7 linked regions of the Kluyveromyces lactis genome follow. Each later gene encodes a partner of the first gene's protein in a complex. Links are inferred from orthologs where the notes say so. Each region holds a gene or a part of one and is shown in the gene's direction. Other genes may lie near its edges. The genes, in order: SIN3, KLLA0_E19933g, RXT3, CTI6, DEP1, PHO23 and ASH1.

Region 1 (4,091 bases):
AGGTCACTATTCTGTACTGATAATACCCAAAAAACCCAAAAGAAATAGTCCTATACACAATGAACGTTGAACTTTACGGTGGATAGTAATACGCTCTCCTATTTTATAGCCGAAACACAACACAGTTCATGAAAATAATACATAGAAGGGAAGAGGGGATAGAGAAAAACCGAAGGAGGTTCAATAATTCTTTTGAAAAGATGAATTACCTGACACTTGTTTAATACACTTGAGCAATTTCCAACACTATTACATACCATAATCCTCAGTAGCCAACGTTTGCAAATTCCATTCTGTTTCGAAGTTAGACTGCAGCTGAGCCAACTTATTGATAATGCTATTACATGCGTTCTTCAACGCATCCTTCGGATCGTATCCTTCCACAGTCTGAATTCTCATTTTAAACTTGGCAAATAACGGATGCTCTACCTTATAAGCTGCAAAAAGAACTCCTTCATCTTCTAAAAGTTCGGCTCTAATCAAATTCCCTAGAGTGTGGTCTTCTTTCTCAAACGTTACTATAATAGCACTGGATGCCTTGGTATCTTGCTCTACTTTAAGCTTCGACTCACCTTCCGGTAGTAAAAAAAGTTCAAATCTATCTGGAGCATTCATATCGTTACTCTATATTATCTAGCGGAGCCACTGATTGAATCTGTCACTGGATTGCGCTGCCTTCTCCTGCCAAACCCACACAATGTTGTCTATGGTCACTTTAAAGTTCTGTTGTGAATTTTTCATGTTGAGAAGCGAACTGCAATCAGAATCAGTGAATGAAAAGTGGTTACCCTCAGGCACGTGATATTGAATCTGACCCGAAATGTCGACAGTTCCCAAGACCAAAAAAAAAAAAAAAAAAAAAAAATTCAAAATGGAAAGATTCAAAAAAACATATAAATTGAAATTTAACATTTGAACTCTTTAAAGTATGTATTTAGAGTGGAAATTAAATGCGGTTGCAGAATCTAAAGGGGAACGAGACAAGACATAACCTTCTCTGTGCGATATCAAGGGCGGATAATCGAGTAATTGCTTTGAGCTTATACCAGTACTTTGAGTATCTAGTTCATAGTCTAAGGAGTACACCATTGTTCACGACGTGTTTTTTGGTCCTGTTCCTTTTTTTTTATTGTTTTCTTTATCAATCATCGAGATTTGATTCTGATTAAGGAACTTATCTAACTGCTCTGAGGTACGACCACGATTAGCGCTGCTATCATCTATTCTTTGATCGTGTTATCTAACGCATCGTATTAGTACAAAATTTGGCAATCGTGCTCGAGGGTAAAAGATGTCGGCGCCATGGAACCAACAACCGGATGGTCCACAACAACAACAGCAGCAGCAGCAGCAACAAATTCCACCATCGACTGGAATGATTAATGGTGTGCAAGGTCAAAGTGAGAACAGTCCAAATCTGTTACCTCAGCTCGCGCCTCCCGCCGTTAACATCCAGATAAAACCGGAACATGATCAACAACAACATCACGTGACCCTACCATCGATTTCTACTATTAGTGGATCAAATCAGCCCTCCCAGGGTCAAGGACAGGAACAGGTACAAGGCCAGCAAAACGCACGTTCTCATTCCCATTCACATTCGCATGTGCACCCTCACATCCACGGACCATTGTCTGGTGTTTCTAACCGAATGGATAACATCAATTTACAGAATGGAGGAACTCCTATCAATTCTGCCGCCGGGAGTAACGGTCCTGTCTCAACGAATAGCGAGGGCGCCATCCCTACTCCATCAATTAACAATATCGTTCAACAACCAGATATTACGCATCAACAGCAACAACAGCAATTACTTCAGGGGCACAATGTCCAGGTGGAAAATGCTATGACAGTGGGACAGGATCCACTGCAACAAGCTCAGTATTCTTCATATAGGCCCTTGAACGTCAAGGATGCTTTATCGTATTTGGAACAGGTTAAATTTCAATTCAGCTCTAGACCGGATGTCTACAACCACTTCTTGGACATTATGAAGGACTTCAAATCTCAGGCTATCGATACTCCTGGAGTAATTCAACGAGTAACGACTCTTTTCCAAGGATTCCCGAACTTGATTCAAGGTTTCAATACTTTTCTTCCTCATGGGTATAAAATCGAATGTTCTACCAACCCAAACGATCCAATCAAAGTTACCACACCGTTCGGAACTACCGGTGAAGTTTCTGCTGGACCACCTACACAATATCAATTAGCACCCGTAGCTGGCCAAAATGTTGAAAACCAAAATATTGAAATGCAGCAGCAGGTCTCTCAACCTCAATTCAATAATGGGGATCAAATTCAACATCAGCAGTTGCAGGATCAGTTGCAGAATCAATCTGCAACCTCGGCTGCAATGCTTGTTTCGCAACCACAATCACAGACCCAACCTCAACAATTACATTCACAACAGTCTCCTCAGCAACAAGGTCAGCCACCACAGAGACAAGCTCAACAACAGCCTCAACCGCCACAGTTAGAGAATCAATTTGTCAATCAAAAAATTGTTGCAGCTGGTGGTGGAATGCTTGGTGCTTTACCTGGACAGCAAAAGACAGGCGAAGTAGAATTTTCTCATGCCATAAGCTATGTCAACAAAATCAAAACTAGGTTTGCTGACCAGCCTGATATCTATAAACAATTCTTGGAAATCTTACAAACCTACCAGAGGGAACAGAAACCAATTCATGAGGTTTATGCTCAAGTAACGATCCTTTTCCAAAATAACCCTGATCTCTTGGACGATTTTAAGAAATTTTTGCCGGACTCTTCTGTTTCACAGCAACAACAAGAACAACAACAAGAACCACAGCAACAACAACAAGATCAGCAACAGGAACACCAACAAGATCAGGAGCAGCAACATCATGAGCAAAAACAGCAACCGTTACCGCAAGATCAAAATCAGCAAGCAATGCTCCCACCCCAACCTTACTTACAACAAAATCAATCTATGCAGGGACAAGGATTCTATCCACAATCTGGAGTGTTAATGCAGCCGACGAACCTTCCTCCATTAGGAAATTTTTCTGCTTCAGGCCAAGCATCGCCGGCTGAAAATAGTCATATGCTACCATCTATGCACCAGCACATTGCAGGTGGGCACGTGATACCTCAACATGTTGTGACACAAGGTATGTCCAACCAGGATATTCCTGTATCTGAAATGAGATCAACCATGAATGGCACTTATAATCAAGTAGAGTACATTCAGGGTGCCCCAGGTTATCCTCAACCACTTGAAGGTGTGCAATACATGGAAGCTCCTATGGCTAGACCTGAAATTGACTTGGACCCAAGTCTTGTACCCGTCGTACCAGAACCAATACAACCTCCTGAAGATGCCATTGCATTAGGTGATGAAGTGACGTTCTTTGAAAGAGTGAAAAGGTTTATTGGAAACAAGCAAGTTTACGCTGAGTTTTTGAAAATTCTTAATTTGTACTCACAAGATCTTCTAACAACCTCTGAATTGGTCTCGAAGGTGGAATTCTATTTGCATAGCTCTAAAGAACTTTTCGATTGGTTCAAAAGTTTTGTTGGCTACCAAGAAAAACCCAAACATATCGAAAATATAGTACATGAAAAACATAGATTGGACTTGGACCTCTGCGAAGCATGCGGCCCAAGTTATAAAAAATTGCCAAAAGACGATACCTTCATGCCATGCTCTGGAAGAGACGAAATGTGCTGGGAGGTTTTGAATGATGAATGGGTGGGTCATCCAGTGTGGGCGTCAGAGGACTCTGGGTTCATTGCTCATCGGAAGAATCAATATGAGGACACACTCTTCAAGGTAGAAGAAGAAAGGCACGAATATGATTTCTACATCGAGTCCAATTTAAGAACAATTCAAACCTTGGAAACGATTGCTAATAAAATTGCAAACATGACCAACGAGGAAAAGAACAATTTCAAGCTTCCTCCTGGATTGGGTCATACTTCCCTAACAATTTATAAGAAAGTCGTTAGAAAAGTATACGATAAAGACAGAGGTTTTGAGATTATTGACGCCTTACACGAGCACCCAGCTGTCACAGTGCCCATTGTTTTGAAAAGATTAAAGCAAAAGGATGAAGAATGGAGAAGAG
Region 2 (3,490 bases), on another chromosome or scaffold:
ATCCGGTAATCAGCAGCTTATCCACATTAGTCAATCTACAACGGTTCAATATATTGGATAAATCCGTCTCGTGCTGCTTCTTGCCATGGTATTTCCCTTTGAACATGTGATCAGAGATATTGAACCCAATGTCAAAGTACCTTATCTGTTTCAAACCTGTCATCTTCTGAAGTGCTCTGGACATATACAGTGTAGAAGCTGTTTCACAGTGATATACAATGGCCATAATGAACCGAAAATATGCCAAACAAACAGGAAGTCCTTTTATCGTTCTGAAGTGGGATGAGTTGCATATCCTCTTGCGCATCGTGAGATGGCTTGTACAGAATTTTCGAGTGTTACCCGGATGTAAGGTTAAGCTCCACTCTGTGACTCAAGTCCGCATGGAAACATTCACAGACCGTACATGCCACACGATGTCCAAAAATATCGTGTAATGGGTATCTTCCGAAGCCTATCCAATGGCCTACCAACGCACTTATCACCTCCCGGAGTGCATCCCCCTACCTCCCATAAGCTTATTTTGACACATTCTACACACTACTGCAATAGCTTTCCGAAGGCGTAGACTAACGCACCAGTCCCAAACCAACCGGGGAACCCCATTTGCAAGAAGTACACAGACGAAAAAAACAAAAAAAGACACGTGAACGGTAAGATACAGGACCCTCACTCAGTATACTCACATCACATCTCATCTCTTCTCATCTCACCTGTCACCTCATCTCATCGCTGTCACACTGAAAAAATTCGAAATTTTTTTTTTTTCCAACTCATCGCGACGAAGAAAAAGCCACTAAACTCGACCTCATCGAGTCTTGTCATTTAACTTGACACTCTTTGTTTCCTAGGCAGAAACCTGTCTTTATTGGTTCAGTACTCAGTCTGACCTCAGTGATATCGACTCAGAGCATAACTGTCAATACGTTAGTTTATTGTTAGCCGATTTTGGAAGGAATTTAAGGCGATTTTTTGTTGTTTAAAAAGAAAAATCGTTCATAAACTACTGTCGGTTTTATTTTGGACCGTTCAAAATTTTTATTCCCTCTCGTTGTGTTAATGAGAACAGGTCTTTGAGCTAGAGAATTAGAGCTATTAGAAAGCTGTTACTGTCGTTTTGATTACATTTCGAAAATTTTTGAGCTGAATTTTGGTTTTACTGCTCTAAATAGTGGATTTTGTTTTGGTTGCTGATACTTTACAATTATAACTCACAATATTTTTAAGTGAAAGGGTAGATGACTGCACCAAAAAACGTTTCCAGTAGGACTCCGAGTTCGTGGGAACCTCAGGACGATGTCTTGTTGCGACACTTGAAAGAGGTGAAAAGACTGGGATGGAAGGATATTGCTCAGTATTTTACGAATAGAACTCCTAACGCGTGCCAATTTCGGTGGAGAAGGTTAAAATCTGGCAGTTTAAAGACGGTGAAGTCGCCAGAGGAGGAGGATGAGGAGGAGGATGAGTTGTTAAATGTGACTGTTCCAGTACTTGCTCCAATGGCTGTTTCTGCAGGACCTACGTTGAGCGCGGAATCTTTAAACACTGGGTCCTCTTCGACGGCGAAGAAGAATACGGCAAAGAAGTCTAGTTCTACGGGACCGATGCCCATGCCCATGCCAATTCCGACCTCAAAAGTTACCAATAGTGCCGTTCTTTCGTCACCTCATGGGTTGAATGGTAGTGGGAGTGCTACTAATAATAACAATAGCAACATGGGTGTTTTTTCGTCATCTGCTGCTACAGCTGGATCTAGTGTCCTATCGGTAAACGGACTTGCACATTCCGGATCGTTGTCCAAGTCTCCGTTCTCTACTGCTTCTCCTGCTCCTCATGGGAAATTTATAAAGCCCAGGTCTTCCTCTCATTCACAGGACGCCCCACCAAATATGCCCCATTTCAATGATCAAGAGGAAAATTTTGGTTTTATTCCAAAAGTCTTCATCAAGAGTAGACGTGGTTCCGCGGTCGTTGTGAATAACACTCCACAATCGAACTTGCCAAACCTGGCCAGTACGAAATCAAGGAAAAATTCCTTCTCCTCGCGCTCCAGACGTTCCTCTTTCAACGTAGCATCCGACAGGCATTTCATCCCAATGTCTTCTAACGGATCTTCTAGAAGATCTTCCGTTGTTGTCATGCCTTCATCAACTTTGCCCGCATCTTCCGCGAATCCAAGGAGAGAAAGCTTCACGACGAATCCATCTATGTCTAGAAGGAACTCTGTCTCTCAGTTTAGACGTGAGTCTATGCAAGCAGGTTTCATTGATATGCCCATAAAACAAAGCTCTCAACCCCCTCCTTCATCCGTATGTGCCGTTGGATCATTCAATGGCTTTGCAAAACCTTGGTCTGGCGATGAGGATAAGTTGTTGGTAGAAAAACGTCAAAGGTACCACTTGTCCATTGATGAGCTTTCAATCTTGTTACCTCATAGATCAGAACAAGAGATCCAATGGAGAATGGATTCGTTACATATAACGCCTAGCGATGCAGTTAGTACTGCTAGTCCTTCCGCCAATGTTAATCAATCGAGTTCTTCAGATGAGGTCCACTCTACTTACTCACCAGATACTGCCGTAGAGGAGCATGACGACATTGACGATGTTGATGTTGATGTAGAGATTGTTGGCCGCATGGAAGACTCTATTGCCCCAACTCAGCTAAGAGATGAATCTCCTACGTTTTCTCAAACATCTTCGACTGGTTCTTCCGCTCGTGAGAGATCGCCAGTGTTTTCACCGGACGCTCATTCCTTGAGAGACCATTCTCCAACTATTTCTGATGTGAACAACTCATCTTTTTATGGCAATAGGATGCCTGCCAGCGTACCGAAGCAAATTCTTCAAACACAGGCTAGTAATGAACAAACGCCCCAGTTCACTCCGAATTCATCGCAATCTCCTCAACCACCACAAAACCATCGACTACCGCAAGTGCCAACTCAGCCACTGCCTAGTTTGAATACGATATTCAAGCACATTGTTTGATGATAAACTGTCTGTATTAATACCATTATCAAGAACCAAAAACTTAAAAAACTACTTTACAAACCACTTTCAGACATGTATGAACATGAACCCCGAAGTGTATCGTGGCGCCAGTCGCTGCTACTTCAATCATCATTGTCGTTGATTTACTATCACATAAACGCACACACTTTCCTGATTATGACCCCATTGTACAAGTACTATAACTACAATAGAACATCAATAATACTGTTACAGTGTTATCTTTATGCCAAATCATTTGAACTGTACCATATGGTTATTTTTTGTCATAATAATGTCCCTATTCAGTTTATTATAGCAAAGGGACACGGGCTGCTCCTTTTGCATAAACACTTAAATGAAAAGTGCGTACTATTACGTTGTTTTGTTATTTACATTTTACTGCTATATCAATGATGGCATTAATTTTCGCTATTCTTACAATCATATACATATATACATGCATATATTAGATATTACACTATTATCAGTTTTCTTCT
Region 3 (2,830 bases), on another chromosome or scaffold:
GTTAAGATGTTGGAAAAAAAAAGGAACATTGATCATAAGTAAAATACAGTGCGTATTCACCGATAATGTCGTCTCTTAATCGCCTGTTTCACTCGGATAAAAATCAATCATCAATATTCAAATTATTTCACATTGATAAACAAATAACCCATCTTTTCAACATTATATTCCAGAAACAAACTTAGCGTTTTCACAAGGACGTATAGCATGGTGTATATTTTCTCCACATTCTAATGATATCAAAATAAACTAAATAGACTTCATCTCCGGTCTTTAATATCCACATATTCTCCCAAAGTATCTCCATTGTGTGCAAACTTACATGCAATGTTGCATTCAAATACAGTATATGATCTTTAAACTCCCCTTCTCATTGCTCTTATCCACTTTGGTATCTATTGTGTAATTTCACTTCGAAATTTTGTTTCATCATTGGTAAAAGCTAACATACTCTTTTGTGCATGTTGATGGTGTATTCACGAGTAACGACGTCTTTCAAACCGGCCATTTTGTATTCGATAGTTCCTCAGTGTACTGCTTCGTTCTTCTCTATTAAGAACCAACACACAAATCAAATAAACAGTATCGTAAACGCCTATTAACATTCAGAAACCTCTAATTTCACCACTTACAATATAGCTTATTTCTCAGTATCCAAATAATATTTCATCGAAAATCAACACTTTCTCTCTGGTACTGGAGGGAATAGACTAGGCACTAGGCTGGAGCAAGGCAGCCAGTGGTGGGTGAAACGCCTAGTATGTCCAAACCTGGCTGGGTGGCTGCCCAGGCTGGTTCCAGTAGACGGAGGAATGCCTGCACTCTGGACAAGGAATGGTTGCCGGCTGGGGTGTAGAGCTAGAAAGGTGAATTGGCATCCTAGGCAGAGTGGGTAAACCTGTCATCGGAGGCCGCCGGGCGTTGTCAAGCGAGGTTCCTCAGGCCTGTATCATTGCTTCCCACACACAACATGTCCTAGAAATGTTTGTGTCATTCGAAGTGCGAAATGCGGAATGAAAGTTTCCTATTATAGAAAATGAAAACATAAAACTATTTTACATCAGAGTGCACGGATGTTACAGTGGAACAAATGAAGCCTCACGAATGTACGGATGTTATAACAGTCCCGTATATAGACTATTATGGTCAAACTGGTGATGAATGTTGTTAATGAAAGAATCTCCATCTGTACATCGAATACACAGTGAATTCATAATATAAATCGAGAGAAATTTACTCCTGAGCAGGGTCGATTGATACATTATTACAAGCTGAGAACTTCGCAGTGGCTCAATTGATTAGTTGCCGATTGTATAGCTGGTAAAACTTTGATTTATTCAACAGCTTTCAGCCACTGTTTGAATATGAGTGATGAGTTGTACAGAAAAACCCAAAACAGGATATACAGCATGCAAGAGACACTGCTGAATAGTTCTAGGGAGTCCAAACAGGCCCGAGATCAGGATACGGGTAAAATCGGATCATCATCATCAGAAGAAGCAGTTGCTGCACCGGCTAATACACAGAATGTTGCAGATGAAAGTTCCCAAACAGGGGAACCTGAAAACAACACTACCCTTGAAACTGCAGCTCCAGACAGCAAACCTGAAGATGACGAAGACGAAATAGACGTAAACTCTAAATCTGTCCTTGAATATACAGAGAAGAATTACGCACTACAGCGGCGCCCTTTGGCCACCTTGGAGTACGACTCCATGAGAGTTGGTGTTTTTCCTGGGGATCCGAAATTGGAAGCCCTTCCATTCCCTTATAATTTCAAGACCATCAGATCTCCGAGACCTTTTATTCCAAGGATGTCTCATAACCATATCAACTCAATCCTTACAATACAGATCGATTCCATATATTTACAACAAGTGGCCCGTAGTGAGAACATACGGTACCAAAACCGAGAGATATGGGGCACAGATATATATACCGACGATTCGGATATTATATTAGTACTTCAACACTGTGGAGTTTTGCCATTTTCTGAACCATTGGATCAAAACAGCAATGGCAAGCCATCCAATGTTCACTCTTTGAAAACTAAATTGAGAAGAACTCCTACAAATATGTCGGACCAAAATAGTGTGACAGGAGCAATCCCAGAACGTGAAATTCCATTTGCGATCAAAGTGGACATCCTAATGTTACCACCTCTTCAAGGTTATGCGTCATCCACGAGAAATAATATCACATCCAGAGAATGGACAGGGCAAGTCCATGACGGTTTGTCGTTCGGAATTTTCCATGTTGATATTGTGGTGATGGACAACACATTAAATGAGATACAACAATCTGACAAGACTAAGTCACTAAAGTGGTAACGCTGCATCAAGAAAAAGGCCAGCAGCCGGTATCTTCCGTCCCCCAATATATTTTCTTTCGTCATGTGTCTCGTACAAGTGACGAGAAAGTTGACTTAAATCGGTTATGTGCAAGCCGTGCGTACTGCATCGATGCGTGCCGAAAAGAATATGTACATTTGTATATGTAAAAGCGTTGTGTATAGATTACTCAACAATGTAATATCATAATAATAACTACCATTATCTCCACTGCCATGCAAACCTTCTAAACATAGAGGTCTGATATATATGCTATTTTATACGTCCCTGCAACCTTCTTTTAAATTGGTTGAAGGTTCCTTCTATTCTTTTAGTGACATTCAATAAGATTAATAATTGGGAAAAAGATTTGAAAAGACCGACCATAAGAGAAGTGTTCGAGACGTTAACGGCTACAAAGTGACCCATAAGACCCTGAATCTTGTTTCTTGGTATACTTAAAGATTAGGTTAGAGTAAGGGTCTCACTGATTCTAACTT
Region 4 (2,979 bases), on another chromosome or scaffold:
TGAGTGAGGAAATTAACGCTATTGTGGAAAAGGGGAAACTGTTAACCGGACATATCAAGGGTTGTATCGACTTAAACAACCATCTCAGCGGACAGCCATTGGTTGAGATGAAACTTGGGCTCTTAGACCACAAGCTTAGCCACTTAAACACGACTTTCCATAGATGCATCTTAGAGGATAAGGCGAACAGCATAAATGATTTAATCGCTGGGAAATTCACTAAGCTAACGTTTGTACCTCCTGATGGACGTACTAGGCTCTGTCAATATACCCTACCGTTGGTGAAAAGAGACTCAAACCTCGGCATTATAGACGTAAATTTACAAAGCAGTTTAGGTAAAAGACTTGACGAATTTGAGGTCCGCGTCACCGTTGGAATGAGCACGACGGTGAAAGAAATAGAAAACATGAGCATGACTATCAGGATGAATAGAAATTTTAAGGGAATAGTACGTGTCATGAGAAACACTCACGGCGGTGTCGAAACAAATATGACTCGTGGCGAAGTTAATTGGCATTTGGACAAAAACATGGTATGCGGTTCAATGGCTGTACTACGTTGTATAGCGGAACTGGAACCCGAACTCGCCTCCAATGACCAAACATCTAGTAGATCTTCGGTTGTTCAACCACCTAGTTCACACTTAACATCCTTACTACAACCTAGTTTCATCAAATGTTACTACGAACACAAATCCCAGCTTCCCTCCGGAATCAAACTTCAATCAATCGACGTAGTTAATGGAGGTCCAAAAAAACCGTTCAAAGGTGTTAAGTACCTCACAAAGACTGGTTCGCTAGAGTATAGGTGATGATACGTTAAATGGTTTATATATATGTATGTATGTATTTATGTATGTGTTTGGATCACGTGATATTTTTGTTTTATGTACTTTTCGAACGAGGAAAAAGTGTTCCAACTGATTAAAGACTTAAAAGGAATAAGTAGAGCCACCTTGGATAACAGATGTTTTAAAGTTTCTATGTATGCAATGCGGAGGGCAAGAGTGAATTCCAGAAGTTTCAGGGCTGTTCTATAGTGCCATTTTTACTGATCTCGACATAGAGCGGTTAATTTGGGCGATTTGCAGCTGATATTTGACGAATAATCGAGAAGAGGGGATCTTGAATCATAGCAATGAAGCGAGAAACGAGGGACCGTGGAAGGACGGACCTTGCACCAGAGAAGTATGTAGAGGACTCTGATCCAGAGCCTGAGGATGAAGGTGAGACTCGGTGTATTTGTGGGAAAATTGAACCGCCAGATGATTCGGGTCTTTATATTCAATGTGAACAATGCCATGTTTGGCAACATGGATATTGTGTGGGCATATCTGAGGAGGAAACTCCGGATAAGTATTGGTGCGAGCAGTGTAAACCAGAGCTACACTCGCTCTACACAACGGATCTTGGTGAGAAGAGGTCAATATACAAGCCAATTCAGCAACGCCGTAGGAAAAATAGAAGGTCGAAAAGAAACTCCGAATCGGATGGAGAAGTATCAAACGCTGGAAGTTCACTAGAGAACCAATCTCCTTCTAGCTCAGTGGTTAGTGGAAATATTGGATCTCAAAGATTATCTCGGCAAAGGAGAAATAGTAGTAATGTTGAATTATCGAAGGATGAAGGTGAAGATTCTATTGCGGACTCCGGAAATGGTGAAGATAAGGATGAAAATATTCCCAAGCGCGAGTTTGATCCAATTGATGAAAATCAAAAGGTTGCAGATCGTAAACGTGCTACATCCAGTGCCAGGGAAGAGAAACATTATCAACTTATGCTAGAGAAAGCCCTACGCGAAAGCAGACGCTCTTCAAAAGATGGCACCGATCCCGAAGACCAAGATATTTTGAAGGAAGAAGAGGCATCAGGGAAGTCCGCCTCACCAAAGAATTACACTAGAGATACGGAATCTCCAGAAGTGGAAGGATCTGAAGCTGATGAAGCAGCTAGTCAATCAAGAAAACGAGCTAGAACGACAACAAAATCTACATCGCCATCAGGTTCCGAAGATGACTCCAAATCAAAAAGATCAAGAAGAGGTAAGAGCAATGGTTCAACCACGCAAAGTAACTCAAGGATTTACAAGACCTCAAGTGGAAGAGTTGCAAGGAATTCTAAAGCTAGCAGCTCAAAAGGATCGGGTTCCTCTGGAAGTTCAAACTTGTCGAAATCTAATGGACAATCTAATGATATCGGAATCAACAAGCCTCTAAAACCCAGGATTCCCTCTCAGAGGACCACTATGCATGAAATGAGAAGAAGAGTTAACGCTATTCTGGAATTTATCTCAAGGACACAGTTAGAAATATCTAATGACCAACGTCAACGGGATCAGTTGTGCCAGTTTGTGGAAAACGAAGAATTCCTGGAAAATATTAATAAAATATTCTCCAGTTACGACGAATCCTTCAAAACGATGGATGAGCTAACGAGGAAATTACTGCTTTGGGAGCAAAAGTTTAGTCCAGCTTCTTAAAAGCATGATAGAGAGTGTTCTTTTCTTGTTTCATACATTTCCTTACCTAATTCTACATCTGAAGTACATACGTAAGTTCATAATAAGTCAACTGGTTTATCATTAACGGCGCAAACATCTGTTAAAAATTGCTCTGTAGAAATAATCGAGGTTCCTCCAATGATAACTCTGCAATTGTCCTTATTTTTACTCTGTTTCTCATTGAATTGATGTACTGCGCGCGCTTCTTCTATAGTGAGGCCTCCGACGATCAATATAACAACATCTTGTGGCATATATGTCTTAGGGTCAATATTTTGGTTTAAAAGAGTCACTCCCTCTTGTGGGAACTTGTTTTTATCCAAATCGCTGAGAAGTGTTGTCAATTCAGGAACATGTTGCATAAACACATTTTCAGCGCTGGTGCTGCCTAATCTGTTGAATTTCTTGGTTAATCCACTAATCAAATCATTGTCCTGAGGAGCTTTGTGTTTATTGAATATTGACCCAAATCTCTGTTT
Region 5 (3,583 bases), on another chromosome or scaffold:
AGCCTTGGCTAGTTCCTTTTCTTTCAAATTGATAACTTTAGCAGATTCAGATTCCGTGCCGGTAATCGAAGACTTATCGACTGCAGTTGCTTCATCTTCATTATCACTATCGGAAGAGTCGTCCTTAGGTTCATCCTTAGGTTCATCTTTAGATTTAGAATCACCTAATACCTTAGAATAATATTGAACTTCCAAATTATCATTCTCTTCATCATTCTTCTTGGTCTTCTTCTTTTTCTTCTTCGGCTGTTCTTCCTGTTCTTCCTGTTCTTTCTCTACTCCTTCGGAGACAGTAGAAGCACTTTCCTGGACATTCTCTTCTTCTTGTTCATCCTTATCCTGTTCAGGCTCAGTTAGCACAGTCCTAGCTTTCGACTTTACTTTACGCTCATCGACATGATTAGGTTTGGAGAATAACGCTGCAATCGATGATGTACCTGCCGCGTCTGATTTGGAATTTCCAAATAAATTGTTCAATGCGGACATCCCGTAATATAATTTTGGTTTGTTATGTTTGAAAGACCCTGGTTCACCAACACAAACGTTATTCCTCTGCACTAAACCTGCTGGTGGCTGTCCAAGTCTCTTCGATGCGATGAGCTTTATCCATTTGTCTGTTGAATTATCGAAAGTGAAAAACCTGCACTTCCTAGAAAAGCCAGCAGAAATCATGAATTTACCACCAAAAAGAAATGCGGAAGAAAAGCGTACGCTCTATGGACAAATCGAATGTATCGTAGTCACGTGATTAACACCGTGGAATGTACTATATGGCCGGGTAACATCATGTTCCTTTTCCTTAAAAAACGTACAAACTGTAAATAGTGCTGAAATGCCGAAATATAAGTTAAGAATAAAAATACAGTCTGATTTTAGCATGAACATATAGTTATGGCCAGTCAGCAATCAATACATAGATCTCATCCAAACGTGATTTAAAATATTGTGTACTACTAAGAATAGAGAGAGATAACTGTTTTGCTAGTAAAAATAAGAATTACGCGAAGTAAGGTATATTTGCAGCCCTTTGTTTTAGTGTGTCAGGTATCAACTTTCAATCTATTCAAGCAGCAATTCTTAACTTATACTGCGCATATTAAACGGTTTGCTGGTTAAATTTTGTGTGTTTCTGCATTGGAGTATAAGCTAAGTGTTTTTTCTTTGCCATCAGCCGATTGGAGTAATACAAAGGTTGTATTGGTTATATGCGTTGGGATTTCTTTCTTTTTGAATTCAAACGGTACTATCTTTGAATCATTCAAATGGAGCCAGAGAGAAACAAAAATAACAGTGTAGAGGCTGCGAGTGAGATTGACGATCATAATACCAGATCTGCCCCCACTACGAAACTTACCAAAGAAGTTTTAGAGAAGATTGCTTCGGATTCTGATTCTGTTAATTTTAACGCAAATAGTTATTCAAGGAAATCGAAATCAGGGAGTCCCTCAAAGGTTGGTACATTAGAATACGACGATAACAGTACCAGTGGATTATCTAAGGTCACTTCTCCAGAACATCCAAACTCAGTCTCTCTATCGGACATATACATCTCATCAGACGCTGAGACCGAAAAGATGGATTTAGAAGAGGACGAATCACGTGTCAAACTATCGGAAATGGCATCCAATTCGATTGAAAGTAACGGTAATGACAAAAGTAAACAAAATGATGATAATCTTTCGAAGACTGTAAAACAAGAGTACATCAATAATGGTGTCGGTAGTTATATTCAAGAATCTGCCCCTAAACTTGCTACTCCTTCAAAAGATGAGGGACCAATCGTTCAGCAAGATAAACCAGCCGAAACAGAACCTGAACCAGTACCGTATGAAGATGACGCTGTTGCTGATACAGATCATACAACAGAGCCAAATAAACTTGCACTAAGCCAAAACCAGGACGAAGTATCTGTACCTGCCGAAGGAGGCAGTCAAGAAGAAACAATTGCAAACGATGAACAAGAACAGCATGCTCCGGTAGTAGAGGAGCAGGCGAATGATAACGAGATCAAATCGCAAGAAGAATCAGAAGTGTCTTTAAAGCATAACCGTGAAGAAGAGCAACAGTCCCTAGAGAACGGCTCGGAGCATGTCAAGTCTGAACAGGTGTTCAAGAAACCGAAATTACCTACTGAGTCAAAATCAGGTCACTATGAAGACGAGCATGAAACGCATGAAAACGGAGATCATGATGTTGATATCGACGCGGATGCAGAAGCTGAGGATGATGGTACTCTAGAAAGTGAGGTTGAGGACAATAATGAGGATGAAGAGGAAGAATTAGAACCCGAAATGGACGCAGTAGAAGAAGATAATGATGAGAAACAACAGACAGATACACCTGGCGTCGATTCTACCGATAATGGACTATCGCCCATGGAGAAGGAAAGGATAAGACAAGACGCTTTGGCAGAACTAACAAATATTGAAGTCGAATTTGCTCAATTGCGACAGAGTCTATATGAAAACAAGCTGAGCAAATTACAGAATGAGCTACAGATGTGTCTAGATGGATCACATCCTCAACTACAGACTTATTATCAGAAGATTGCTTCGATACGGGACTTTAAGCTAAAGAGAATGTACCAAAGGCAAAAGTATGAGCTGGAGTGCATAGATACCGAAACTAGGGCGACAAGAACGTTTATTCATCAAGATTTCTACAGAAAGGTCTCAGATTTGAAACATAAGTTATTAGGAAACACAACCCAGAAGTGGTATGACATCAATAAAGAGAGACGTGAAATGGACGTTGTTGTACCTGAAGTAAATTATCACGTTCCAATAAAAATTTCAAATAAATCTTTGAGTTGTATAACCGGATACGCAGCTCCTGCCAATCTGAGACGTCCAGGCGACTTGTTATCAGAAGATTTATTATGTGAAAATATCAATTTCAGATATCATAACAACCCTGTCGATAAGTTAGAAGTCATTGTAGACAGAATGAGGTTTAATAATGAATTGAGCGACTTAGATGGTATAAGGAAATTCTATGGAGGATTCCCAGGTGCTCCTGAACTTGGTGGTTTAAAAGATTCTGAAATTCATGAGGATCTTGCAGGAATACAGCATCAACAATAGGTCATATAATTTTTCACTAGGTGCTCCAAAAACCAGAAAACACGCTCTTATCAATAGTCAATAAAATGTCATCTTGATGAATCATCATTTAATTATCGTTTTGTTATGATGTGTAATCTTTACAAGTATAATATATGCATGACTGTGTATATGTATAGCACTTTTAACATTTCCACGATATGAAAGTGTATTCGAATTGACATCTGTGAATTCGAGAAACCTTGATATTTTAAAATATACAAAGATGTATGTTATATATGGAATAGAAGATATACTTCCTACTAATTAAACATTTGTTGGACGTTGGTAGAGATAAAAGCGTAAATAATAAAAAGATGAGAAAGAAACCCCAAAAATAGTAGTCCTTGTGAAGTGAGGAAAGGTTGTGATGAATTGGTCAGATTCCAATGTGAAGCGAAATATCTTTATTTTATTAAGACACCAGGATAGAAATAAAACTTATAATAAACCGTATCCAACCCGATGATATTTTTCTATAA
Region 6 (3,037 bases), about 600 kb from region 1:
CCTTTATAAAACCCACGCACTGCATTCAAAGAAGTAGGACCGGCTGCCTGACGTGCAGCTTGTAGAATATGTGAGACTGCATCCATGGCACTACGTGCTTGGTTTGATTGACATCTGACTTTCACCAAATCAAAAGGATGTCCGGTCAACACTGCACAAACACCTCCAACACCGCCTGCAGCTAATGACTTCAAATTTTCTGTTAATTGTGACTTTGTTTGGGAAACATCATTAACATGCGATGTTTCCAATTCAATTTCAATGGAGGCGTCACTCATTTTTCCCTTTTCAATAGTGTTCGTCGAAGTGATACTGTATATATATACGTTAGCTTTGGTGCACTTTGATCAGACCAATTTCATATACCTCGGTACTGAATGTTCTTCTTATCTAAGTGTATGCTTCAGGTTTGCACCGAAAGGCTGTGATTTATATATCTACGAAAAAAAAAAAAAACGTTTCTCTTCCTCATGAAAGTAATTAGCCATGATATTGCTGATCATTAACATCATATCATCATCATAATCATCAAACATTCAGGATTTTCTTTTGGTCCAGGATTGTGACTTTCTTGGTGAATCATTATAGTCATCACCAAAAAAATTCTCAAGTTAACGGACTTTGTAGAGATAATCTAGGATTGATACAAGGAATCAGTACAACATTTTGTGTGACTGGCCGTTAGAAATAGAATCAGCCCTGAATGCATGACAACAAATGAAAGAACAGATACTCTACAATTTAAGTACAAGGTCATGTGCTGGAACATCTCCAAATTCGCACGGGATCCCTGCGGCTGTTTCCCTGCGTGATCCATTCATTATTTCTGATACATATTCCCTTTTTACCTTATTTTACCCGATGCCGACAGGATTTAGTGTCAGCAAAATTCTAATCGCCTTTTTTTTTTCTATTTAGAGCGGGGGAAATGAAGTGACAAATGTGACACAGGTGGAAGGAGACAACAGTGAAAACAAAAAACATAAACAAAAGATTGCGGACAGGGTTTCACGGATGATCGTAATCAAACAAACCCCGAGCTTTCCATTGTATAACCTACTTAGAATCCAAAACGATTATTTAATACCAATCACGTGATAATAATTTTCACGTGATCTATTTTTCTTTTCTTCAGGTTCTCGCTTAGTCTTATTAAAAGCTTTGAATATCAAATTTATACCTTTTCTTTTAGGTCAGGTAACTAGAATTGTTTAGCATACCGGATAAGTGCACGCAATACAATTACATGTTGTATGTAGTGTATTGACATTTGTGTGATTCAAAAGATCTCTCAATCCAGTAGGAATCACAAGCTGTACTACATATCACGATAGCGAGACATAGACAATACAACTCAAGATATGGCAGCACCTGCAAATTTATACCCTGGTCTTAATGATATTAGTGATGTATTGGAAGAGGTGCCATTAGACGTTTCACGGTACATGACTCTACTCTATGAAATTGATGCTAAATGCGTTAATATAATTCCTGAACTAAATAAATGCATTAAAGGATTCCTTGGTGGGAGAAACGTTCCTGATGAGTCCAAGGTTCCTCTACGTGTGATAAACCAATGGTTTCAAGAGCTGATCCCGTCATTGGAAGAGAAGATGCATGTTTCATCTATAGCCTACGATTCTTTAGAAAGGTTAACGGACAGGTTGGAATTAGCCTACGAGGTTGCTATTTCCAATCAAGAGATTCCAGAGAAGTTAAGACTAGGTAACGATAACCATCCAGCGATGCATTTGCATCGTGAGCTTATGGCTAAGGTCGAATCAAATGTAATGACGAAGTCTCAACAAGCACTGAAAAGTGAATCCCGTAGAGAAGCCATGGCTGCAAAGAAGACAACTGGGGGAACTGCTGTTCAAGGTGGGAACGCTGCTGGAACGGCAAATTCAGGTTCTGTCGGATCCACAGCTGGTTCTACTTCAACTTCTGGAACCGGTGCCTCCACAGCAGTCGCAGGATCAGAACCAGTAGTTGCGGCGGTAGGATCACATGGAAATGCTCCAAACCAAGGAGCAAACACTCAAACAAATGGTCACAACCGCTCTTCCACTATGGCAGGTCATAAGAACGGAAATGCGCATAACCACAACCATAATGACAATAGCCATTCTCATGCAGATGATATACAACCAGCGAACACTAAGAAAAGGAGAAATAACAACGGGACAACTACTGTCTCAACATCTAGTTCAAACAATAACAACTCTTCTGCAAATAGTACTGCCGCACAAAGAAGGAACAAAAAAAGAGTAAACACCACGGCTGCTAACAATGGCGTTACCGGGAGTAACACGACAGCTGTAAATGCAGTCAACGCATCAAATAAGTATCAAAACAGACCAAAGATCAACGAATATGGAGAAGCACTGTATTGTTACTGTAATCAGGTCGCATACGGAGAAATGGTTGGATGTGATGGCGAAAACTGTCAATTAGAATGGTTCCATCTTCCCTGCATTGGCTTGGAAACGCTACCTAAAGGGAAATGGTACTGCGATGACTGTTTGAAAAAGAATTAGCTAGCTGCACCAACATAATATTTACCACCGGAAATAAATATAATATATATCACTGTCTCGTCACTCAGTTCATGATGCATAAATGCAAAAGGAAAAAAACCCTTGAGATATTCAACCTCGATCTCAGCAACTACTGAGAATATAATTGATCTGGTCAAGCATCATTTTTTTGGGAAATTCTATTTCCATTTCCATTTCTTGTCGAAAGAAATAATAATAAGCAAGCAGCAGCATCGTATTGATGAGAAAAAAAGGGTTCCTTCAATTCATGTAATCTGTCTCTTTTCGCATACTTACCGAATTTGAAATAAAAATTTAGAAAAATAAAAAAAATTTTTGTTGTACCTTATAATAATAAGCTTTGTTAAATTCTACTTATGTACGTTGACAACACCTATGCACAATCATTGCTCATATCATAGGGAAAAGAGGGACCTCGTTGTAGATTAAAATAGTGAGGGATTTACATTTGTACACTGCGAAATGTCGTTAAATAAAGT
Region 7 (3,339 bases), on another chromosome or scaffold:
CTATCCTGGCCGTTCTTATCCTTCCCACTTTCGTCAAATCTAACTTTACAGTTCACATTGCATAGTAAGGTTCCGGTACCTGGTATCACATGGAAATCAACCGCGGTGATAACGTGCTGCGTCAGTACCACTCCAGTTTGCCATGCCTGAAGGAATTGCACTGCCTGTCCAAACGGTTGGGAATTGAATATTATTTTGCACTGATGTGGGTTAAATAGCTGTAGGAATTGTTCCAACTTTGCTGGATCGGGCTCATCTAGATGAGCCAGTACTTTCTTCACAAAAGTCTCCACGATTTGAGGTTGACGATTCATTTTGATAATATCAGTTGATGATGCTTTAAAGAGATTTGCTGATTTTTATTGAAGGCTTTGATAACGTTTACCTTAATACTATTAATTTCAACATCGATCAAAAATTTTATTATTAAATCTATGGAAAGAAGTCTTCTTCTCTCCAAATTTCATCTTGGGTAAATTCAATTGACTAGCTTCATCAAATGCGGGTAACAAACAATATATGTACGCGTTGTAATTTCCTTGATGATTTTAGGTAGACCCTGATTTCAAAATCTCTCAAATGAACACATGCAAACACAACTCTAAATGCTGATCGACTCGAGCAAATATCTAGCGTACATATTGTAGAGTCGGATTTTTCTTTTCCTTATGTCTCTTTTGCCAGCACTTTTGTCAAGCTGCCTCGCGCACTAGTATTCTTTTTTTTTTAAATTCTATTTTCTGCTTGCATATGTGAAGAAAGTGTAAACATGAAAAACCCAGCATCGAAATGTAAATCCATAATACCAGCCGAACAGATACCAAGACTTGGTGTGGAAAAATAAACATAAACAGAGATCTGAAAGCTAAGTGAACATCGCTGCGCGATTCCATTACATGATATATGATTTTGTAAACAATGGTTGACTAGTTTTGATCAATTTTATAGCCGGTAAGAGAAAAAGAAGTATATCTTTTGTCTTTCCCTTTAGTTTTGCAGGCATAGAACAAGTATGAATTCTTTTGCCAAATCGAAAAAAATTCGGTAAACCCTCTGCGGGTTTGGCGCAGGTATTCTTTGTTTACACTTTTTTCTGTTTCATCGATATATGGATTCCTACTAAGTTTGCGGGACTGAACTGATTGAAATTGGTTCAGTATCCCTAGAGTATATAAACCAGAATCCAAATCTGGGTTTCCATGGGACAATTCTTTCAGATCGATTGGAAAGATAATCCCCTTATTTTTACTGAATTAGGTATCGTGGTTGATATATGACAGTTCTAGCTAATCCTTATAAGGCCTGATATATTTCTTCACTCTTCAAACACTGGTCCTGACAACTGTGTTACACATCAATAATTTACTTCAATTAACACCGTAACTTGTTCCCCATTATAGAGCATCGAATCAGCTCATTTCCCATCGCTTCGACCTTTTCACTATTCAAGCTAACGATGTCCACTATTTCGAACCCTTTACCATTCACCAATCCTCACGCCGAGCAAAAGTTCTACGCAAGAAGAAAAAGATCCTTTGATGATCTATTATTGCCATCTTTAAGTACCAGTTTGAACGCCCCAATGACATTAGAAGAATCGCCATATTTCTTTGACGCCCGGAAAAAATCTAAAACGGCGCCAGCCTCACCTTCTGGATTCGTACAAATCACGCCTACTACATCACCAGTGTCCGCTTCATCTAATTCTTCCATATGGAGACAGACAGTATGTGAGGGAAGCAGCATTAGCAGCAACAGCAGTAACAATATTGGAAAATCAACTCAACTGCCTTCCTGTTCACAACTACAGAATGAGGTTGCGCAACCCTCGCAACCAGCACTACAACCATTAAAGCATCTAAAGTTATTGGCACATCCTAAAATACAAGAGTTTTCGTACCTCTATCCAGACACTTGTGCCTCCACGCCTCTATGGAGGCAAAACTTAACAGAGTGGTGTAAGGAAACTAATTACACTCAGTACCAAAACATTACAGATCAGGTATCTCAAGCTAATCCAAGAGCTGGTAATTTTACTCATGGATTAAATATTTTAGCCGATGCTGCTAGAATATCATCGATCAATACTTCACCAGATGAATTCTATCAACTTTCAAACACTTCAAGCTCCAGCAAAGTACTGGTAACCCCACCAAGTAGTCCTCCCAGACAATTCACTTCTATGATCAGCGAATCATTAGTTAAAGCGGTAAAGAAGAACCGTTCCTCAAAACATAAGAAGACCAACAGTTTTAAAGCAAGAAAACTGAAGAAGATGCTGGATCAACGCATATTGCTTACATATGAAGACAAATTCGAATCACAAAAGTCGGTATTTAAGGCTAATCCTGCACCACCAAAGACCCCTCCACAAAAGAAGATTACACTATCCACAACTCCAAAATCTCTTCAATCTCCCCAACAGAGATTTCATCCTATTGTGATCAACAGCGTGGAGGATTTCGGCGAAAAGACTTCGGCGAACTCCAACTCAGAAGACGACACCGACCAAGAGCTAGTCCAAACATCTCCCAAAAGCTCTCCAACACAAAGGCGTAACTCTCATAGATTTTGCGTTTCATGTCACATTACAGATTCCCCGTGTTGGAGACCTTCTTGGTCTAAAAGCAAACAAGATCAGCTTTGTAATTCTTGTGGGCTCCGTTATAAGAAGACCCATACAAGATGCACCAATGAAACTTGCCGTAAAATACCTTCAAAAGGTGAATTGACACTTATGAAATCAAACAAGCCAGTTTCGATTGAGGACGCTGACGGAAATACTGATTACAAAATAGCATGTTTGTTCTGCGGTCACGCCGTTGCTACTGACGAATAGGGCAGAAAAGCCTGATAAAAAAACCAACCTTCCTTGCATAATTAACTGATCCCAACTTTCAACGGAGCTTTTTACCTTCTAATATTGCATTTATAAATACTTACTTCTCTTTTCCCTTGTTTGTCCGGATAATATTTCCACTATTCCCTTTCCCTTCAATTCTAACTAATTTGATTAATATAATGATATAATCTAAACATATATTCTTCCTATAATTTATCTAATGTAGCGTAAATTAATATTTTCACACTTCTGATCTTTGAGCATCAATATCATAGGTTGATATTGATGACTGGCACTTAGTAGCTGCTTCAGACCTCTTCATAAAGTGAATGATTTTTTCTTTCTTTTCATTAATATGCCATTTACGTCAAGATCGATGTATGTTCGCTATCTGAAAATGAAAAAAAAAAAAAAAAAAAAAAAAAAAAACTTCATCAAAAATATAAATAACTGGAACCGTCAATATCTCATCACTTGCTTTCGTTTTGCTTTAATAT

Evidence for each region.
Region 2: SIN3 (region 1) and KLLA0_E19933g share a complex: the UniProt entries of both Saccharomyces cerevisiae proteins name them as parts of the RPD3C(L) complex. The link is inferred for Kluyveromyces lactis from reciprocal best matches to the Saccharomyces cerevisiae genes SIN3 and DOT6.
Region 3: the proteins of SIN3 (region 1) and RXT3 are in contact, whole or in part, in a cryo-EM structure (PDB 8HPO), measured with the Saccharomyces cerevisiae proteins. The link is inferred for Kluyveromyces lactis from reciprocal best matches to the Saccharomyces cerevisiae genes SIN3 and RXT3. Residues at the interface, in NP_014639.1 of Saccharomyces cerevisiae: Asp701, Glu704, Lys729, Lys731, Cys732, Ile733, Glu734, Asn735, Ile736, Val737, His738, Glu739, Lys740, Arg742, Leu743, Val787, Trp788, Ala789, Ser790, Gly794, Phe795, Phe935, Asp939, Gln947, Ser950, Ser953, Ser954, Val957, Asp958, Thr960; in NP_010207.1 of Saccharomyces cerevisiae: Tyr62, Asp63, Pro65, Asn66, Val67, Ser68, Ser69, Ser71, Val72, Phe75, Tyr80, Tyr91, Arg94, Phe95, Ser104, Thr105, Ser106, Arg110, Phe113, Asn120, Thr121, Pro128, Ala129, Ile132, Gln133, Thr144, Glu146, Asp147, Glu156, Cys168.
Region 4: SIN3 (region 1) and CTI6 share a complex: the UniProt entries of both Saccharomyces cerevisiae proteins name them as parts of the RPD3C(L) complex. The link is inferred for Kluyveromyces lactis from reciprocal best matches to the Saccharomyces cerevisiae genes SIN3 and CTI6.
Region 5: the proteins of SIN3 (region 1) and DEP1 are in contact, whole or in part, in a cryo-EM structure (PDB 8HPO), measured with the Saccharomyces cerevisiae proteins. The link is inferred for Kluyveromyces lactis from reciprocal best matches to the Saccharomyces cerevisiae genes SIN3 and DEP1. Residues at the interface, in NP_014639.1 of Saccharomyces cerevisiae: Pro643, Ser644, Val648, Val649, Pro650, Glu651, Pro652, Thr653, Glu654, Pro655, Ile656, Glu813, Tyr817, Tyr820, Val835, Asn836, Glu839, Lys869, Val870, Tyr871, Asp872, Arg875, Glu878, Ile879, Glu885, His886, Thr890, Pro892, Val893, Leu895; in NP_009389.3 of Saccharomyces cerevisiae: Asp297, Val299, Ile300, Pro301, Asp302, Val303, Asn304, Tyr305, Tyr322, Leu356, Ile359, Arg362, Met363, Asn366, Asn367, Ile369, Ser370, Leu372, Glu373, Gly374, Lys377, Tyr378, Phe379, Phe382, Pro383, Gly384, Ala385, Pro386, Leu388, Asn389.
Region 6: SIN3 (region 1) and PHO23 share a complex: the UniProt entries of both Saccharomyces cerevisiae proteins name them as parts of the RPD3C(L) complex. The link is inferred for Kluyveromyces lactis from reciprocal best matches to the Saccharomyces cerevisiae genes SIN3 and PHO23.
Region 7: SIN3 (region 1) and ASH1 share a complex: the UniProt entries of both Saccharomyces cerevisiae proteins name them as parts of the RPD3C(L) complex. The link is inferred for Kluyveromyces lactis from reciprocal best matches to the Saccharomyces cerevisiae genes SIN3 and ASH1.

The regions. Positions count from the first base shown.
Region 1 is NC_006039.1:542,990-547,080, forward strand, and holds the start of SIN3 (transcriptional regulator SIN3), read left to right. Parts: upstream 1-1,291; coding exon 1,292-4,091. Other genes in the region: DNA-directed RNA polymerase II core subunit RPB11, read right to left, coding at 250-615. UniProt on the Saccharomyces cerevisiae protein: Catalytic component of the RPD3 histone deacetylase complexes RPD3C(L) and RPD3C(S) responsible for the deacetylation of lysine residues on the N-terminal part of the core histones (H2A, H2B, H3 and H4).
Region 2 is NC_006041.1:1,774,034-1,777,523, reverse strand, and holds KLLA0_E19933g (SANT/Myb-like DNA-binding domain-containing protein), read left to right. Parts: upstream 1-1,238; coding exon 1,239-2,990; downstream 2,991-3,490. Other genes in the region: KLLA0_E19955g (3'-5'-exodeoxyribonuclease), read right to left, coding at 1-307. UniProt on the Saccharomyces cerevisiae protein: Component of the RPD3 histone deacetylase complex RPD3C(L) responsible for the deacetylation of lysine residues on the N-terminal part of the core histones (H2A, H2B, H3 and H4).
Region 3 is NC_006038.1:261,955-264,784, reverse strand, and holds RXT3 (Rxt3p), read left to right. Parts: upstream 1-1,364; coding exon 1,365-2,330; downstream 2,331-2,830. Other genes in the region: RPL31B (60S ribosomal protein eL31), read right to left, coding at 452-508. UniProt on the Saccharomyces cerevisiae protein: Component of the RPD3C(L) histone deacetylase complex (HDAC) responsible for the deacetylation of lysine residues on the N-terminal part of the core histones (H2A, H2B, H3 and H4).
Region 4 is NC_006041.1:1,669,785-1,672,763, forward strand, and holds CTI6 (Cti6p), read left to right. Parts: upstream 1-1,138; coding exon 1,139-2,479; downstream 2,480-2,979. Other genes in the region: APM3 (Apm3p), read left to right, coding at 1-812; VPS45 (Vps45p), read right to left, coding at 2,557-2,979. UniProt on the Saccharomyces cerevisiae protein: Component of the RPD3C(L) histone deacetylase complex (HDAC). Responsible for the deacetylation of lysine residues on the N-terminal part of the core histones (H2A, H2B, H3 and H4).
Region 5 is NC_006042.1:735,792-739,374, forward strand, and holds DEP1 (Rpd3L histone deacetylase complex subunit DEP1), read left to right. Parts: upstream 1-1,262; coding exon 1,263-3,083; downstream 3,084-3,583. Other genes in the region: rRNA-processing protein NOP12, read right to left, coding at 1-486. UniProt on the Saccharomyces cerevisiae protein: Component of the RPD3C(L) histone deacetylase complex (HDAC) responsible for the deacetylation of lysine residues on the N-terminal part of the core histones (H2A, H2B, H3 and H4).
Region 6 is NC_006039.1:1,143,160-1,146,196, reverse strand, and holds PHO23 (Pho23p), read left to right. Parts: upstream 1-1,361; coding exon 1,362-2,537; downstream 2,538-3,037. Other genes in the region: CRC1 (carnitine:acyl carnitine antiporter), read right to left, coding at 1-278; Ras family GTPase RAS1, read left to right, coding at 3,021-3,035. UniProt on the Saccharomyces cerevisiae protein: Component of the RPD3C(L) histone deacetylase complex (HDAC) responsible for the deacetylation of lysine residues on the N-terminal part of the core histones (H2A, H2B, H3 and H4).
Region 7 is NC_006038.1:232,097-235,435, forward strand, and holds ASH1 (DNA-binding transcription repressor ASH1), read left to right. Parts: upstream 1-1,456; coding exon 1,457-2,839; downstream 2,840-3,339. Other genes in the region: MTR2 (Mtr2p), read right to left, coding at 1-314. UniProt on the Saccharomyces cerevisiae protein: Component of the RPD3C(L) histone deacetylase complex (HDAC). Responsible for the deacetylation of lysine residues on the N-terminal part of the core histones (H2A, H2B, H3 and H4).